Arabidopsis thaliana: one gene and its partners. The protein of the gene in region 3 interacts with the protein of the main gene of each other region in a biochemical or structural test. Each region holds a gene or a part of one and is shown on either strand. Other genes may lie near its edges.

Region 1 (5,464 bases), 4.7 Mb from region 3:
ATCAAGGCTGGCTCTTTCCAACAGTTATCATTCGTTAATCTATTGTTGGATCCTATGTCATACAAAAACCTAAATTTCAAATGTTCTAAATATAGCAAGTTCCCATTTTTCCTGTAACAAGCTTATATCACATTCACCGAATTTGCCTACACTAGTCTACCAAACGACTTCTCACTTTGAATTCTATCAGATCCCAAAAAGACTAGACCTTTATGAATCTATCTTTACTCATGAATATCCCCAACATAAAAATTGAAAATTTGACTAACCGTAAGCCATAATTTTCAATTTCTTGCCGTCGCAGCGCAGATAGTCAGGTATTCGGTGGAAATCAACGGCGAACAGTTGTCGTTGCCGGTGTATCACTTGTTTCGATTTGATCGTCGCCGGAAGAGAAACAGAATTTGCGGGCATAAGGAACTTCAATGTTGGGCCTTAATGGGCTTAAATTAAAATACTATTGGGCTTAGTACGTCTACCGCTAATTATCCTCTTTAATTAACGGTTTATTAACCAACTAAAGATCATCTTTTATGAGATTGCTAATTAATACAAAAAATTAGTAAATCAATCTGGTTTCGATTTTCATTTTATTAACCAAGCTCATTAAACAATAAACACACACACCCAAAAAAAAAAATCACGCATCAAGAAGGGAACAATAAGCACACTAGTCTAAAAGAGTTATACACAACACACAAAAGCACTTAGATCAAACGTTTTCTTTTAAGAGATTGAGAATCTTCGTCTCCTTGGCTTAGTAATGTCAACACCTCCAAGATCTTCATCTATGTGCGAAGTATCCTTAGACCCATTTTTAAACGGATTTAACTTCCCAAGTTTCTTGGAAACAGAAGAGAAGAAAGTATGTTTGCTCTTCTTACTACTCACCAACGACGACGAATTCGAAGAAGAAGCTCCTGCACCGTTCTTATTCTTCTGCATATCCGAAACATACATTTTCATCTTCATCAGCTCACTTCTCAACGCTTCGTTTTCTTTAGCTAACGTAGTATCAGCTTGCAGTTGGCTACGTGTCTTTAAAGCTTCAGGGAGAACAACTACTGCTCTTTCTTCTTGTTCTGCGACTCCACTTCTTAGCTTTAACTGATCGTAGTAAAGAGCGTGAAGAACAATGTTTACTGGTAATCTCTTGTTCTGTGAAGCGTGAAGACGTGCGTCGTAAGAAAGCTTTAAGGGATCCATTGAGCTACACACTTTTTCCCTTTCGATCTCGTCTAGATTCGGATGAGCTTTCAAGAAGATGTCTATAGCTCTGTAGAGATCGTCGTCTGATTTTCTAGCGGATTTCGGGACAAGATTCGCAATCGCGTTGAATTTGGAGATTGTTAGGTCTCCGTAAGTAGCGATCTCCGCTAAGTAAGAATCAACTGTTTTAGCTACTCTTTGTAGTGAAACAGAGCAGACTCCTCTGTTGAAGTCTCCACCGTTGAAAACACCAACGTTTTTCTCTTTTTCCACGAAAGCAGAGATGATTCTTCTGACACTATCGAGATCTAGTAACCGTTCGCCGTCGTAGGTGAAAGACGGGATCAAAAGATCGTCGACGGAGACGTGTTCTAGAACGACTGAGATTCGCTTCTCGAGCTCGTTCTTGCAGGTCAAGGAAGTGTCTAAGAAGACCGCGCAACGGAGGAGAGAACAGAGGAAATTGACTGGGAACAGCCCTTTGTCTGAAGGTAAAAGAGAGACGATAGATTGAACAAGATCTCTCTGTTGGGATCTTTCGTCGGATTCGTTATCTCCGGGATCGGAATATTTGACTCCTCTGCCTGAATGGTCTCTGACGAGATCTCTTAAGGATTTCTCTGTGTAGGTGATGATTGCAGAGGCTAAGGAAGAAGGTTTGACACCTCTCTGCTTCATTGAAGATACGACATCGGAGAAGAAGTCGACGTCTAAGATACAGAGTTCCTCTGTCCACCAATTTGGTGGTGTTCGACATGGAAACATTGCCTCGTTGCAAGCCTTTCAAATATCAAAAGAAATAGATATAAAAAACGTATCAGATACTGTAACCAAGCATTACAAAAATTCATGGATGTTAAAATATTAAACTCGTAATTCATTTTGCATTACATAGATATTATACTTGAGTCTCACGGAACTGGAATAGGGTAGAAGTATGATTTGCTCAATTTAAGATTCGGAAACCAAACCGAATTAAATATGAAATATTCCTATCGAATCTAAATCGCAATCATAGTCTGACAACAGTAATCATAGATCTAAACTTTAATATTAAAATAGATTTTTGTTTTTAATAATAAACACTAGAACAAAAGAAGTGAAGAACAATGGTCTCAAACTGATTTTTCTTAGGAAAATTGATAGATGAAATTTTAAAATCAATTTCAAACTATTACTGTATTTGAAACCTATGGAATAACTAAACCAGATATTCTTGCCATTTATTGAAAAACATACCTAAAACTGTACTAACTTACTAGATTGGGTTATTGCAGTTACTACTACATAGGTAGAAAAGAAAAACATAAACACTAGCCAAAATGGAGATCCAACACTTACAAAGAAGTGAGAATGAGTTCTGAGTAAAATAATACCTTAGCACCGACGACGTCGACACAACGGCGGACAATACCAAGATCACGAGAAATAGGAAGGAGAATCTCGCAAGACTTGAGGACAACGATAGCTCCAGAGAGGCTAGAGAGAGCTACTTGAGAAAGGAAGTCTTGTGTCCGACCAGCAAGGTTGTTGTCGCAGTACTTATCGGTCATCTGAAGAAACTCGGCTGCGCAATGAAGAGCCGCCACGTTCTGAACGGTGATCTCGAAGTTAACACCGTAACAGAACTTGGCAGCTTTCTCAAATATCTCAGGACCTCCGGGTATATCCGAGAGATTGATTCTTGTCACGTCGCTATCTTTGGATTCCATTATTAGCTTCCTTATGTAGTTACTCTTAGCCACTAACATGAACTATATATATACAATCATGAAAAATTATAGTTAAAATTTTGTGTAATTAAAAACATGTAAGCTAATGGTTTGTACTAATCTCGCCATCCTATTATTACTCTATTCAAGCCTAGTTCATGAGTATATGAAAAATAAATAATCCTTTTTTGTATTGAAAAATGTTGTGAACCAAGAATTAAGAGTTGTTGCTTACCTTATGAAGAGAGAAATTGGCTTCTCCGACTTCAACAACAACATCGGTCGGAATATCTTGAGAAAAAACCCTACAAAGTTACATATATACATGTTAAAATTTCTGATGATTCGCGCCGGGAGACTCTATTGGTGAAACTAGACTGATTCGTACCATTGACCGGTTCTTGCAAGACTTGAAGACATAGAGTTCATGTTGATGGGGTTTTTTCCTTCTGTTGCCATTTTTTTTGGTTCTCTATTGAAGGAGATGGAAGCATAATTGGAGAGTGTCTATATATTGAAATTTCTTTAGCATGGGTCCCCCCAATCCACCCAATTGCTAATGTAATAATATTTGTGATTGGCTTCTTCTATCTTATTTTTCTAAGTTTTTATTTGTCGTTTTCTGATGTGTTTATTATCTCTTTTAGTTAACTCACTCTAATCCTTGTGTTTGTCTTCGTCGTTTACTTTCCTTTTCACCATTTCCTTTTAACTTTTCCCTATTTGGATATGTACTTGTATCGACGGCTATTTTATGTAATTTAGACCTTCCACATATATACCGATATATGTTTCACCAACTTTTTGATAATAGACTAACAGAGATCTCGATCTTGGTGATTTGTAGATAACATTAATAAACATATCTCTGTAAGTAACATGCTTTACTACGCTTTTATTTAGTAAATGTATTTATTTATCATTAAAATTAAAATTAAAAGAAAAGTGAACGTTTACTAATTGATATTTGGCTAACTACATTCAAATTATCAACTATTATTTTAGTAAATGTTACAGTGATATTCAAGGTTAAAAGACTACAAAAAACATGCAGGATAACAATGATTATAGTAATATGACGAACATGAAAATCTTTCTTATCATAAAGCTGCTATGTGTAAGCAATCTCATCGTACAAGGACATAGAAGCCGGGACAAAGTGTGAGTGTGTGACAGACCAGAAGTACAGAACGGATCTAAATTCTTGATTTCATAACATGCATATGGTGATGATTAGAAAATTTTATAAAGTATAATGATTAGTGAGAACCAATCATCATTCATATATTTGGTTGTTGGCAACAATTTGTAGAGTGGCTCATTCAAAAAGAAAAAAACAATCTTACTTTTTGGTTTGGTTAATGAGAATATGATAGCAAAATTAAAGTTTCACATGCTAAAAGCCTAAAAATTCTGAATTAAAGGAAGACAATGCTATGAATATAGAAAAAAAAGCAACGCATGTGAATAATTGACAGATAAGAAACGAAATTAAAAGTGGATGTACGATTAGAGAGAAGTAGGACCATGGAAGTTAGGGAAGTAGGAACATGTCATAGATAAGGCCCACCCCAAATATGTGGTCGTGCTTCATCTTAGAACCTCGTGGTGTTTGGCTTAGCTACGTCGTCAAATCATCCATCAGAATCCAGTTTCAGTTTTGTCTTCCAATCATGTTTATACACGTGTTCCTATCGTCTTTAAAGATATCTCACGTCTCTTACATTGCCTAGTTGCCCTAATAATTTTCTGCCGGTGCGACTAGTTTTATAAGACTATTTGTAGTTTGAATGTGAAGATTCACAAAATGGGTCTTCATAAAAAGTTAAAAACCCTTACCAGTTTTCGTGATTTTTCTATTTTGATGTAAGTTTCTGTGAATCGATGTGATAATATGTCATGTGAGTCTTTTTTCTCCGGCTGACATAGTAACATGTGATTTGATAAGAAAATTATTTTAGTATCGTGATAAATTTTGTGAGGTGTTTAACTTTTTGTTTAAATCTTAATGCAAAAACTTCCAAACCCTAGATTTCTTTTTTGTAATTGGTTTTGCATCAAAACACAATATCCGAATGTAAAATATTGAATTAGCTAAACAGTAGATGTCCACTAGATCATGAGTAGGCGATATACATATAAATTTCATTAATTCAGAGAGAATAATAATTAAATTTTGTAAAAAGGTGCTAAGGCAAGGTCTTAATACAAGTCTAAATTATTCAGATGAAAAATTCATGTTAGGAAATAGGTTGGACCATAAGAGGATGGTGCTATCAATCTATTAACAAAAGTACAAATACCCTGAGCTGTATTGCCGTCTAGTTTCAATCAACAATTTCGATCATAATGGTTAATTACATCCAGAGGATTGACATATAGGATTGTGGTTTATTTTGGTTTGATTCGGTAAGTAGAACCAAAATGCTATTTTCTGATTAAGGATATGCAATTTCTACACACCTGAATTCAAAAAAGGCATTGGAGCTAATTCTAGTCAGATCATATCCATGATATACATTTAGTAAAATGCAAAAAAAACT
Region 2 (4,273 bases), on a different chromosome or scaffold from region 3:
CTACAGTCATCGACTACAACACCGAATATCCCAACTAGTTCAAACAAATCGATCATGGCCAAAACCGAGCCTCAAGTCTTTAAAGTTTCTTAAGCTATCAAAGCATACTGCCACTACCAGGCAAAAATCACTGATTTCGTTCAATCACTGGGCACTATCACCTAAACATCTCTTAATCTGCCATGGTTCGATATAGGTAAACTACTTTGACTACTTCATTGGATCCACCATAAGCTATATAAAAACTCCACTTACTCTAAGTCCCACAACTCTTAAGTGAATCAAACTTTGTCCAGGTAAGAAGAACACTACTTTCTCCAGCTAAGACAGAGAAAGCAAAATCAATGACTCATTCAATCAAGGACACTTAACACCTAAACTAAAGACACATCTAAATCTTCCATGACTCGATAAAGATACCCTGAACAACATCTTCAGCTTCAGAAATTTCAAGCTACATACTTTATCCACCATAAGCTATAATGCTATATACAAACCCCAACTTGTTCGTCCACTATAAACAAACCAGGGGAATCCACCATAAGCTCTATACGACATCTTTAGTTTCAGAACTATCAAGCTACACACTTTTATCCACCATAAGCTATTTACGACCCCCAACTAGTTCATAAGCCTCATAACCAAGAGAATCCTATATCTGCAAACAATTCAACTTCTCCAAGTAAGAAGAAGTAAGCTGGTACCAATAAGAACACAATTTCATAATATAACCAACACTTTATTACAGAACAACAAATCCAATGTTGCAAAACATGAAACCACATAATAGCAGAATCTAAGGCCTTTCCTAAGAAACCCTAAAAGCAAATAAAACCATAATAAGAGCAGAAAACAGAGAGCCAAACCACCAACATCACGAGACTTGAAAATAAAAAAACAAAAGAGAACACAACAGTTTCTTCACCAATTCATATCCTATCAACCTTATCAGCCTTCACCACAGGATTAGCTTTAGCAATAGCTTCTCTCGCAACTCCTTTGAAATCGAATTGGCACTCGTGACTCTCTGGATATCTATGAGTTCCACAGAAAGTGCTTCCACACCTACACTTGAAACCCGTCACGCCAACTTTCTTGTTACAGCTCAAGCATCTCGTAGCCGTCGATTTCGGTGGATCCAACGGAGCAGCAGCCGAATCACCCCCTCTCGTTGATGAGGAAGACGATCCAGATCCGAGGACGCCTTGAGTGATTTCTTGGCTCTGTTGTGGTTGAGTTTTGGGTTTATTAGGGTTTAGAGATTTCTCGACGGCGGCTTTAGCGGAAGCGGTTTGTTCCTCCGTGGCTCGGATGTCTCTGTAGCATTTAGAGCAGAGGTTCATGTTCGATGGAGATCCGAAGAAGCCACATCCTTTGACGCAGAGCTTTGGCTCTGAAGGAGAGAAGCTTGTGCTGTCGTTTTGCTCAGAACCCATAATGGAAAGATCTCCCAATTCCAAAGTCGAAATCTTACTGCAAAAGAAAAGACAACACAAATCGTGAATAACAGATGAAGAATGAATTTGTGACTTTAGGTTTAGGGTTTTTATTTATGATTCCGTCGAGAAAATAAAGGGAAATTGACAATATCGAAAGATTTAGAAAACGGAGATTCTTGGCTTGTTTCTCAAGCGAGAAAGACTAAAATTATTTCTCATTTATGACTAAAATACCCTTGGAACTCTTTATAAAGTCGAAGAGTAAATGCGTCATTTGTCAACACTTAAGACCAGGTCAGCGTCTATCTCACAAAGACCACTTTACCCTTCCGGCGCAAAAAAGGACAAAAAAGAGATAGATAAGAGTTGTTTAATCTTCGCCGTCAAAAACTTAAATCGAATGGTTCAAGAATAGATGAAGGATTCAAACGAAGAACACAAATCTGCATATCGGCACAGAACAAAACCAATAAGATATTTACCTAATTCCCACCCAAAACTCTGCTTTAGTATGTCGGCGACAATTCTCTCGTAAAGAAAATCTCTGACGGTATGTATCACTGAAAATTTCCGATAGAAACTTCGTGATTTGATCGGAGATGGAGACCGTAACCGAAACCTCTTAGCTTTCGCCAGAGAGAAATTAGGACAGAACAGAAACCAGACTCTTTTAGTTCTTTTGCATTTGTCTTTGTGGTCAAATGGTTTATTCATATGCGGTAAGGCGCACGGAAGATTTAATACATCCCTGATAATATTCGTTCGATGAAACAATCGGAGAGTGATGACGCCATTGTTTACTAATCCAACGGTGGTGATTGGAAGTTTTTTGATGAGATAAAGTGGATATAAAATGGGTGGGGTTATCAACTTTTTATGGTGTTTGTGGATTACGATAAAGTTGGTTCGAGTTCGTGAAGATAATCGGTTTTATATGAACCGGGTTTGGTTTGTGGGGACATGCTTAGCTGGTTGGACGGTGACGTAACAGTAGGATAAAGAAAAAAGGTGGCGCGTTTGTCCCGACGCGATTAGTCCATCGCTCTTTTGATTTGATCGGAATGTGATGATATGTTGTTCCAAATGTACTCTTTCTTCCTTGGGCCTTTTCAATTATCTCTTTCTTTTCTTCGCTAAAACGACCGGATTTTAAAAGTGGTCAGGTCTTTTCTCACTGAGTTTACTTGCAAATATCAACATGACTAAATCGTTTTAATTTACGTAAAGTGTTTTGGACACCACTATATCTAATCTTGAGCTATAATTTGTTTATGCTTGTCCTTAAAATCGAGACTAATTCAATTTCCATTTATCTGGTTTGGAAACGACTAATCGAAATCCAAAATCATCGAACGCTATCATTCAAGACGTTATATTAGCAAGCGACTCTCACTCGCGACTGCATCCTTTTTTTTGGATCCAATACTGACCATAAGGTCCACAACCAAATTAAATTTGATATAGTTTGTGAATTGTTTATAGGGTCCATAAGCTTCTTAGTTCTTATGCTCCTCTTTGGTATGGTATTAATACTTCAAAACGTAGCTATCTAATCTATATATCATCTATCGATATGTTCATTTTTACAGGGAGTCTTGTTCTTATATTTTGCTTACAAGTATCAACTTTGGTTGCGTTTCATTCTCTTGTTCGATCCTCTCGTTTTCTTTTATGTTATGCTCCGTAATATATATAAATTGCCTTCAAGCAACTAAATTTCAATAATTAAATATGTTACGTATTTCTTCTGTCAGTACGATGTATGTACGCACCGTAACGGCAAAGCGAAAATAAAGCGCCGGTCTAAAGCAACTCTGCTTACACATTTATCGGTGGTTCGTGACGGAGCAACAGCTATTAGCCACTCATATGTCTCCACATGTTTGACTACGACACCGGTTTAATAAGTTGAAACTAAACCACCTAATTATAAGGATATCATTTTTTAAAAGTTTTTAAAGCTAAGAACGGAAACGAATAATAAAGATTCTTTCTTCTAACCCCATTCGCTCTCTCCGATCAACACAACATTTGATCTAACGGTTTAATTTTCTCGAGAAACCGAAGGAAAACAAACAGAGGTGCATAACGATTCTGACGGAAACTTTTGAGATATTTTTTTTAGAGCCAAAAGGATTCACTTTTTTTGGTTTTATCTTCGCATCGATCTATGACGTACAGCAATGGCGTCGATGGGACGGTGCCTGAGCTGAAATTGAGAGTCGAAGAAGATTCCGATAATGGTGATTATCTGAAATTGAGAGGAGGATCAAATGAAGAAGATGAAGGATCATCGGCGGAATCATCGAGATGTCCGATAGGATCGGTTACTTCTGTCTGGTTCTGGGTGAAATTGATCTCCTTGGTCGTTTGTTTGGGTTCATTGGCCTTTGTTATCATCAAATGGGTTGGTCCCTTTTTGATTGAAAAGGTTCGTTTTTTTTTTGTCTCTCGAAGATCTGATGCTTATTGGTTACATTTGATTGGATTAGGGTATGCATAATGATTCTGGTTTCTGCTGGGTTTTTAATTGTTGAAAATTAGGGTTCTTGAATTACATGTATGAGTATGTGTTTATAAGGAAGGTTATTCATTTATCATCATTAATGTTGGTGTGATTTGTTTCAGGAGCTGATTCCATTTATAAATTGGGTGAGAAACACATTCAGCATACCGGTTCTCGGTCTTCTACTATTTGCCTCAGTGGCATTGTTTCCAAGCATTCTTCTTCCTTCTTCCCCTTCCATGTGGATGGCTGGTCTTACATTTGGTTATGGAAAAGGGTTTCTTCTGATTTTATCAGCTGCTTCCATCGGTGTTACTCTTCCTTTCTT
Region 3 (5,654 bases):
TAAGCATATCCATGGACATTCTTGATGATAGATAGTTGAAATAGCATCTGGAAGACGATTGCCAGTTTTTATCAATATATATTTTCACTTGGACTTCAACTGTTAATTTTGCATTTGTGTGCAGGAGACGATGCTCATAAGACGAATGGTTCTGCCAAACCTGGTGCTGGTGGAGACGATGCAGAGGTAAGTATAAGAGATTCCTTTACTCGGGGTAAATCAAATTAAAATAAGCCGATTTTGATTCAAGATTTCTTTGCTTATGTTGCAGTGATATGATATGTGTGCACCTGGACAATATGTTTCAAGAACTGAATGTGCGGTGAATAATAGTGAAAAGTAGAGTTTCTCTGTTCCCTATATCATGATTGTCTATGTTACTTGTACTCTGGTTTAGCCCTAAATGTCTCTCTGGTTTGAATGTATTGCATGCCTGTCTCAGGACACTCTTATTTGTAATTCACTACTGTCGTCTTACTATCTATCCTTATGGATCCAATCTTGAAACTTATATTCCTTCATTTCTGAATTGCTGAGATAGAAGCTGATTGGATTCGGTACTCTCTGATTCATATTCTGTCACTGATTGAATCAACAACACCAAATACAGTAAACTCTGTTCAGTTTCTTTCACTGGTGTGGTGAATAATCTAGCATACACAAGCCAAGCGTAAATAGATAATGAAGCTTGCATTTCTTGAATCATTGCGAACATTTACCCATACGTAATATGCCAAAGCAAGCAGAGCCAAACTCCAAAAAATAAATAAAGAAGAATTAGAATCGAATAAGAAGAAAGAATGAATAGTTTGTTGAATTTGACAGAAGAGCTCTTTCCCATCTTTCACATAGAATGCTTTCTGAGTCTTTTAAATAGGCTATTCGGATCGAATCATAGGGAAGCAGATAATGATGATAGGGCTTTTTCAATCATAAGAGGAAATGCTTTATAGAGTCCTCTAGAAACTGATGGCTAGGACAAACCATCTCCTTCACTTTATCTCCATTCTTGTACATCTTAAATGTCGGAACTTTCCTGATACTCTCTGCTTTCGCCAACGCCATGCTCTCCTCCACATCCACCTAATAACATTTCATTTTCTCAGTTAACACATTGAGAAACATAGGTTATACATATAAGTTTAGAAGAAAATGTGATATAAAAAGCATATTTGGAATGTGTTCTTGTTCTTACCATAAAGAAATGTACTAATGGATACCGAAGACATAAAGTGTTGATGAATGGAGAAATTTCTTCGCATTGTCGGTTTGATGATGATTTGAAATGAAATACAGAGACACCTGAAGAGAAATGTTTCCAACTTGAGCAAGACACGCAAAATCTCAACCTTTTGAGACAAATTGAAGTTTCTCATTAGACTTACCGGGAAGTGCTACGGATTTCTTGAACTTATCCAAAGTCGAAACCGCTTCAACTTCATTATTGAAACCTAGGCTTTTAGATTCTTGGCTTCTGTTCATTAGCACTGTTTTCGCTCTCTCTAGAGACTCTGCAACTTCACTGTCTCCTGGAAGTTCTCTTCTCAAGAACTCATAATCTTTAACCGCATCCTCCCACCTACCAAGCTATATATTTCAACACACATTGTCATTCGAATACACTGCAAAATTCTGTCAATAACTGATTATAGTAAGTTCTAATCTCACCTTTCCATATGAAGCAGCCCTACGTAGAAGTGCCTTGATGTAACTAGGCTGGCTTTTGAGCGCATGGTTACAATCTTCAACAGATTTCTCCCACAAACCGAGCTTATACCAACACGCTGCTCTGTTGCAGTACAAAACCGAATTGGAGTCATCTTGCTTGAGACCGTCTCCATAAGCTACACACGCTTCCGAGAATCTCCCCGAACTAAATAGCTCATTACCACGAGTACGTGCCCGCACAACCATCTTCACATTGTTTAAAACTGATACAACCTCAGGATTGGTTTGATCAAGCATCGCAGCTCTCTCTGCCTTGACAACCGCATTCTCAAATCTGCAACAAACCTATCATATCTACTCACTCACCGGTGGAGAAACAAAAATCCAAAGAATCACAACATTTCTGAGTTTCGAAAGCTCACCTTCCTAATGCCATATCAACTTGAGCTTGGATACAGAGCACATAAGCTTCAACTACCATACCAAAGAGTTTCACCTGCGGTTGAGAATGGTAATGATGATCCAATCTTGGAATGCAAGATACACAAAAATCCGAATCCTCTATTTGCTTAAGACGCAAAAAGGCTTCTGCTTTACAAGCTACAAGCTGTCCAAACCAATAGAAAAAACCTCACTGTTAGTCAAAAATCTTTACAAGCATATCATACGACAATGATATGTAATCACCTGAGGAGACGAATCAGCGCCGTTTGCAATGGCTGCATCGGTTTCCTTAATCGCGGTTTTCCAATCTCCAATCTTTCGAGCCTCCCAGCATCGTCGGAGATGCTTCTCCAGCGTCTGTAGCCGTTGGAGATCAGCTTGATCCGGACATTGACCAGAAAAACAAATGTGACGTCTTGCATTCTCAGCTTCACCCAATCTAAAGCAACAATTCACTCCATCATTTCAAATTCTCAATCTTTAAACTAAAAACACAGCAACAAAACAAAAAGCCTCTCAAGATTACCTGAGATAGAGAGAAGCAAGTCTTTGGTGAGCTCTGGAGTAAGAAGGATCAATCCTAACAGCTTCAAGACATTCTTTAACGGCTTCTCCTAACCGCCTCAATGCCGTTAAAGCCGCGGCACGGTTGCTTCTGTAAGCTGCATTTCCCGGTGAAATCAAAATTGCTCTGTCATAAAGCGACAGAGCTTCAGAGAAACTCCCTCTCCTATACATATCATTCCCCATTCTCTTCAACTCCTCCGGGTTTTCGCCATTCTCCGCCACTCTCACCGCCTTTCCGCTGGTTCCTCCTCCTCCGCCGCTGCGTACAACGTTTCCATGTCCGTAATTACCAGTTCCTGTGCATAGAGTCTCAGTCCTACTTGAAGTCCGAGACGCCATTCCAGTTTTCAAGATCCGACCCGACGGACAAATATTTCCCGCCGGTAAAACGCCAGTATTGGGAGACACTGCCGACGTAGCACCGCTACCACCTCCTTGTGGCGAGGTGTGACTCGTTGCTGAAGTAAAGCTAGAGCCAGAGAAGATCAAAGGCGTGCCAGTAGAAGAAGATCTTCTATGACCCGGTTTAAGAATCCGGGTCGTGGTCGGCATTCCGGATCCGGGGCTAGAAAGCTCACCGGAATGACTCTTGTAAGCATCATCTAACCGTTTAGCCATCTGAGAACTCACCGACGGTTTACCAGAAGCAGAGCCAGAAGAGCCAGAGCTGCTAGTAGGAGTCGCAGCAGCGGAAGAAGAAGCAGAGCCACGTGGCATTAAGGTAGAAACAGGAGAACCTAGATCGAGTTCTCGAAAATCAGGTTTGTTGACGTCATCATCATTTCTCTGTAAATCACGAAATCGACCAGTGATTGAATCTATAGCAGGTTCCAACGAAAGTCTTCTAGAATGAGACATCGTCGTCACTTCCTCGTGAGCTGAATCTAAAATGAGACTCAGCTTCCTTTTCTTCTTCTCAGAGAAGTCAAGAGACCACCACCGAAGCTTTTAACGCCGGACAGAAACAAGTACTGTCTTCAGAGAGAAGAGAGAGAAAGAAGAGGAAAAAGAAAGACAGATCTCGTGATAAATAGAAAAGGAAGACGCAAAGAATTAAGATGAAGAAAAAAAAAAGGATTAACCTTGATTAATAAAGATTACGGATTTATCTCCCTGAAGATTATGACATTGATCTTCTTCTTCATCTTCTGTTTATCTCTCTTCGCTCCCGTGTCTTCACGGCTACTTGTCGTTGAAGAAAATAATACGGTGATTTATCGAATTTATTATTAATTAATAAACTCTATAGTCTAAAATAGTTGACTTTTTAATTTTGAGCACAGTGTTCGAATATAAACTAATTAGACTTTTTCTAACATTTAATGAATTTAAGTTTTCTTAATAAATTAAAACATTTAACCCCTTACTAACTAACTACATCTTTTTTTTTTGGTGCACACTAACTAAGTACTAAAGTACATCTACTTTCAAATTGTTGCGTTGTGTTACGGAAACGAATTATGATATAGTACATTGTATCTGTTAATTTGTATGAATGTTAATTAGTATTTAAAATTACTAGCTTCTGACGTCAAGGGCACGAAGATTCAAGCACGTTCACTCATGTTCCCAAAATGTTACTCTATCGAAATGTATAACATCATTTATTAATACAGACTATGCAATAGCATAAGCAAGGCAAGCTAGCTATATGTACTAGTATCATATTAGGATTTTTTAAAAGTAAACACTAAACCTTCGTAGGATATTCAATGCGCCACGACATGTTACTATTTTATCATTATTACTAGTATTTTTTTGTTGCAATATGTTTCATTTATCAAACCCACTTTTAGGGTCGTTGTACAGAAGTCTCGCATTAAATTGGCCGACTCAATTTTTATTAAATTGAATAATTGTAATGGTATTTTTTAGACATTAACATTTTAACTAGTGTTTAGTTAGTTGTAAAAAAAAATCTGGACAAATTACTAAGAAATAAGAAGTTATATTCTAGAAAGTAAATCTAATGATTATTTCTACAGATACAATAGATTTTTATTATAAAAAAAAATTAGTTAGAAGTATGTCAACAAATCACAGACTTTTGGAGTTTGGTTAAACTATTTGACCAAGAAAAATGAGAAAAAATGCCACGTAAGGATTTCAACCCTCGTACTCAGAGACAGCAAGATAGAGGGTAAAATCGTCATTCGATGTAAGATGTATTTATCAAGCCAGCCAAACTTTTGTTTAAGCCACCATATATATTGTACTATTATAAGCATATAAAGTAATCTTTTATTGCAATAGCCAATTTAAATGTAAATAACAAATGTGTGTAATGCAACAAAAATAAAGAAAATTACAAATGAAAGTTCAATATCTATTGCAGAGCTGGCATTTTTAAAATCTTCATTTTGGTTTTCGGGTGTCCTTTGAAAAGGCTGTCATAGTTCTCTTTTTTTCTTTTCTGGGGATTACTGTTTAATTCATTCGATATAGAGTAGTTAATTTGCTGAAACTCATAATTAATTACTTTGTATTAACTATTTACTGTTTCTAGTAGATCATGGCCAGTCCGTACCGTTCAGACCTACGGAACCACTAATTACATTGAACCAAGCACCATGCATGCCTTCATTTTATTTTATTTTTCTCTAGCTAGGTCATGCCTCGCACCCTCAAATTATTTTCCATATATAGTCAATTAATTTTCTCTTGACTTTTTCTTAAATAAATTATTTCGCTATATAAAAATATTTAAAACAATAATAGGATAATTAAGAACATAACGATAATAAATAGTAAATACTAATTAAAGAAAAAAAAGGATAAAAAAATAGAAGGGTGTTGCGGTAATTATGGGGATAATTGCAAAACGGTGATCATGCCAGCTGGTTATTGACTTCTCTGCTGTGTCTGCCAGCTAAGCACACAGTTTCCGTTAACGGCGTTTAGTTTTTCAATAACGGATTATTCTGTTAACACCGACGGATTATTCGAAAACTGACCTCGAGCCCGCCAACGCCAAG
Region 4 (3,790 bases), on a different chromosome or scaffold from region 3:
TAGATAGAAGTTGATACTACTTGTTACATAAGAAATGTTTAAATAGTGTAGGCTAAAAGCCTAAAACGAAAGGAACAACAAAGTTTGAAGAAATAATGACGATAAATACATAAGATACAAGAGAGTTGGAGCAACGTCAAACCGACCAAGACCAAATCACGTTTCCTTTTACGTGAGACACAAATACGTACCAACGCATTTTGGTTGCCCTCTCATCCATACGGACACCACACATACATAAATAAATAGTTCGAATAATAAAACCAACAAACTAAAAGAATAGTAAAGCATAGGATAGGTTGTGTTGTTTGTCAAAGTAAAAGAATACACATAATACATTATTATTACGGCCACATTGTGATTTGTCTCACAACTAAAACCAAGATGACAGAACTCTAGTTAGTATCGATTCCGCACGTGAGATAGAAATCCTTGATAAGGAGCAGAACATGCCTATGATGATGTCTCAAGACATCATGTCTGTACGAAACTTTTTCTTTTTAAAGGGATAAAACACCATTAGACTAAAGTCAAAAGAATCATTCTACAGCATATTCCATGATTTAAAGTTACTAACAGTTAGAGTAACCCACTCGTTTATTCACGTCCATAAGATCTGAATCCAAAATTATTAGACATCTACTATAAACATGCCTCGAGATTCGGGAGTTTAATTTAGAAAAGCAAAGCTGAAGAGATATCACACCAAATAACACAAAAAGTAACGACCAAAATTCAACTAATTGTAAATGATAAACCGTTTTTTGCGGAATAAATAACTTGAGAATCTTCCAACACAGAAAACAAGAAGAGAGAAAAGTAAACTGGCAGGTAATTTTAATAGGGGACGACGACGAAACACAGGACAATATAAAGAAACATAAACTTAGAGAGTCGCTGCGACCGACCACAGTAACCCAACGAGAGCTTCTCTCTCAGCACTTGACCTCCTTCAAACCATGAGCGAAGTACAAAAATGTTGGGTTAGTTGAACCCTCCTTGTAGTAAGCAAAGACCAAAGTGCTGTCATCATGCATACCCTCCCCAACAAAGCTGTAAAATCAGACAACACAAGCATTGATGAGATTTCAGATGAAATATATGTCATGTATAACAAGCAAGATACGATAGATTGGGGTAACTTACAATTGGAAGTCACTGAGCCTGGGGAGCAAAAACTTGGTAGCTCCCTCAATACCCTTCTTGAAGACAGCTTGATCTTCTTCGCTGAGCTTGGGTGTCAAAAGCTTAATGTATTTCTTAATGTAAGCGATGAATCCCTTCTTGTCATAAGTTGGTTGCTCCTGAAGTCTGAAGGTGTCGACAATGTCAACAACCTTTTGAGTAGAGTCATCAACACCTTCATCCTCACCACCTTCTTCAGCAGATGGATTGGCACCAATGTTAACATCTACAGCTCCCACAGTAACCCACTGGATAACAAAATCAAAACCCAATTCAGAACAGGAAAACAAAAATTTAACAAAATCAAAACAAAACTTGAAGTAGAATCGATGACACTGACCTTTCCTTCTACTTCCCAGAGGATTCCATTCTCAATCTCCTTGTAAGGGAAAGAGTCAGACAGAAGCTCATCACCTGTAAATCAATAGCCCAGACTCTTTAGTCATTACTCATAAGATCCCAAACATTAATCGATACAAGCGAATAAACCCTAAAATCCAATCTACAACGAATCGGTAAGCTCAATTAAAGGACGTTTATATACTAATGAATCACAGATCTAACCAAATCACATAAACTAATCCCCTAAGATTTGAATTATCAATGCAAAGAGCAGCAAATCAACGAAAAACCTATGATGCGATGACAGATCTAACAATTCGATAACATGATTTATTCCGATCGGAAGAAAAAGATCGATAGCTACACAGTTCATACCGAGATTAAGGAATTATTGAGCTTACCGGTGAGAAGATCTTGGTACACCAACATGGTCGCTTATTGATTGTTTTCTCTCTCCGATGGATGCGAATAAACGAAAATCGAAGGTTGCGGGAGAGAGACGCAGCGACGAGGGGATTCTGAAGTGAGGTCCTAAGTTTGGTATTTATAGTCGAAACTATAGCGTAGGGTTTTCAGGTAAATTTACAATTCTCGGTAAATTACAATTTTGGGCTTTAACTGTTTCCAATTTTCTATTTTTTACCCTTTCCTTTTTTTTAAATAAAGGAAATAAATCTGAACCGACGCTTAATGAGCCGGGTTTGGTCCAACGGGTGGGGATTCGAGTGTTGGGCTACGTATAAATAGTGTTCGGGTCGGATAAAATCCTATTTCCCTCTCTTCTCTTCCGTCTTTCTCGTTCTGTTTCTGATTGTTCGTGTAAAACCCTAGAATGACGATGATAGCTTTGAACAGGGAGGTCGAAACTCAGTCACTGAAAAAACTCAGTCTAAAATCTGTTAGACGAGCTCGTGAAATTTTCTCCCCCGTCCATGGCCAATTTCCTCAGCCTGATCCTGAAAGGTTAATCAACAGTTTCGCTTGCAATGTCCACTTTTTTTTCTCGAAATTTCTCAGAATTTTTATGTGTATTGACGATTTCTTCTTCTTGTCTGTTTTTGTTCTTGTCTCGCAGCAAAAGAATTCGGCTCTGCCATAAGGTAAGGGGGTTTTCGAATATTTTTTAAATTTTATCTTTGATCGTGTTGAAAATTTTGTTCGCTTCTTCTTTGTTTTGAGTTTGATAATGGATAGCTTTATAGCAAGCTTCAGAGACGTTGAACCTGAGAAAATTTTATAAGGTGTAAATCGAACAGTCAATGGCTTATCACTTTTATAGTTTACCTTTTATCTGGAGTTAGATTCTTCTCATCAGCTACTATTGTTTGAGTTTGCTTTCTAGCATATTACCCTCATCTTTATAGTAAGATGTTTAGTTTGCATCAAGCGTTTTAGTGAACATCAAGTAGAATATAAAAGTTAATGACTTGGACGTTACTTGTATAGATTCAAGTTGCATTTGGAGGCGTAGAACCTGCAAGTAAGCCTACACGTATTGCTGACCATAACAGTGAAAAGACGGCTCCATTGAAAGCCCTTGCGCTTCCAGGTAGTTCTTTTATCTGTTTTTCCTGTTGTGAGACAAAACTAGTTTCCTATTTTCTAGTTTCCCTGATATCTATTTATATTAGTTGTGAGTTTCATTCATATATGTCTATAATTAGGATTGGAAAACAAGTTTCAGTAATGTATCCTCTTAAGAGTATCTTTTCAAACAAACTTCTGCTGCACTAAAAACGCTGTTAGTGTAATCTTTTAGCCTTTTTCATGACTATTGTTTCTCGTTCTGAAAGACCAAATTATTTTCTCCGCAGGTCCAAAAGGGTCCAAGGAACTTCGAAAAAGCGCAACAGAGAAAGCTTTAGTTGTTGGTCCAACTTTACCGCCAAGAGACTTGTGAGTATACATTTTCATTTGGAATGTGACTAGTCCATATAGTTAGTATAAATAATTTACGACATTCTCAAGAATGTTATTCCTGTTTTGTCTTTGTGATTGATGCTCTACTTATCGTGCTGATTGATACTGATAATTATTGATTCTTGAATTGAAGGAACAATACTGGTAATCCAGGCAAAAGCACGGCCATTCTTCCTGCACCTGGATCATTTTCCGAAAGGTTTGTGTCGCATCCTTATCTACTTTTATGGACTCTCTATAACGACACTACATCTAGATTGCGATACCTAGGTGGTACATAAAGCCGCACTAAGGTGAATTGGTGGTTCAGAGTCATGAAATTTAAATTTGGCCATATTTATTT

What was found.
Region 1: the proteins of TTL3 (region 3) and RPT2 form a complex in vitro, tested with the Arabidopsis thaliana proteins (one study listed by BioGRID).
Region 2: the proteins of TTL3 (region 3) and AT1G12440 form a complex in vitro, tested with the Arabidopsis thaliana proteins (one study listed by BioGRID).
Region 4: the proteins of TTL3 (region 3) and TCTP form a complex in vitro, tested with the Arabidopsis thaliana proteins (one study listed by BioGRID).

Annotation. Positions count from the first base shown.
Region 1 is NC_003071.7:13,002,194-13,007,657, forward strand, and holds RPT2 (Phototropic-responsive NPH3 family protein), read right to left. Parts: upstream 3,554-5,464; 5' UTR 3,381-3,553; coding exon 3,310-3,380; exon of another isoform or gene 3,227-3,309; coding exon 3,157-3,226; exon of another isoform or gene 2,964-3,156; coding exon 2,586-2,963; intron 1,990-2,585; coding exon 727-1,989; 3' UTR 534-726; downstream 1-533. UniProt on the Arabidopsis thaliana protein: May act as a substrate-specific adapter of an E3 ubiquitin-protein ligase complex (CUL3-RBX1-BTB) which mediates the ubiquitination and subsequent proteasomal degradation of target proteins.
Region 2 is NC_003070.9:4,240,887-4,245,159, forward strand, and holds AT1G12440 (A20/AN1-like zinc finger family protein), read right to left. Parts: upstream 2,316-4,273; 5' UTR 1,922-2,315; exon of another isoform or gene 1,474-1,921; 5' UTR 1,437-1,473; coding exon 930-1,436; 3' UTR 535-929; downstream 1-534. Other genes in the region: AT1G12450 (SNARE associated Golgi protein family), read left to right, coding at 3,610-3,870, 4,068-4,273. UniProt on the Arabidopsis thaliana protein: May be involved in environmental stress response.
Region 3 is NC_003071.7:17,726,738-17,732,391, reverse strand, and holds TTL3 (tetratricopetide-repeat thioredoxin-like 3), read right to left. Parts: upstream 3,914-5,654; 5' UTR 3,538-3,913; coding exon 2,639-3,537; intron 2,552-2,638; coding exon 2,356-2,551; intron 2,276-2,355; coding exon 2,091-2,275; intron 2,003-2,090; coding exon 1,669-2,002; intron 1,588-1,668; coding exon 1,386-1,587; intron 1,303-1,385; coding exon 1,196-1,302; intron 1,084-1,195; coding exon 931-1,083; 3' UTR 556-930; downstream 1-555. Other genes in the region: GRF9 (general regulatory factor 9), read left to right, coding at 125-228. UniProt on the Arabidopsis thaliana protein: Involved in osmotic and salt stress tolerance. May play a role in the control of meristematic cell size during osmotic stress. May function as an adapter protein for BRL2 and may be required for signaling affecting leaf vascular tissue pattern formation.
Region 4 is NC_003074.8:5,668,774-5,672,563, forward strand, and holds TCTP (translationally controlled tumor protein), read right to left. Parts: upstream 2,070-3,790; 5' UTR 1,957-2,069; coding exon 1,929-1,956; intron 1,600-1,928; coding exon 1,526-1,599; intron 1,434-1,525; coding exon 1,147-1,433; intron 1,054-1,146; coding exon 936-1,053; 3' UTR 544-935; downstream 1-543. Other genes in the region: AT3G16650 (Transducin/WD40 repeat-like superfamily protein), read left to right, coding at 2,360-2,490, 2,603-2,627, 2,974-3,076, 3,342-3,423, 3,581-3,646.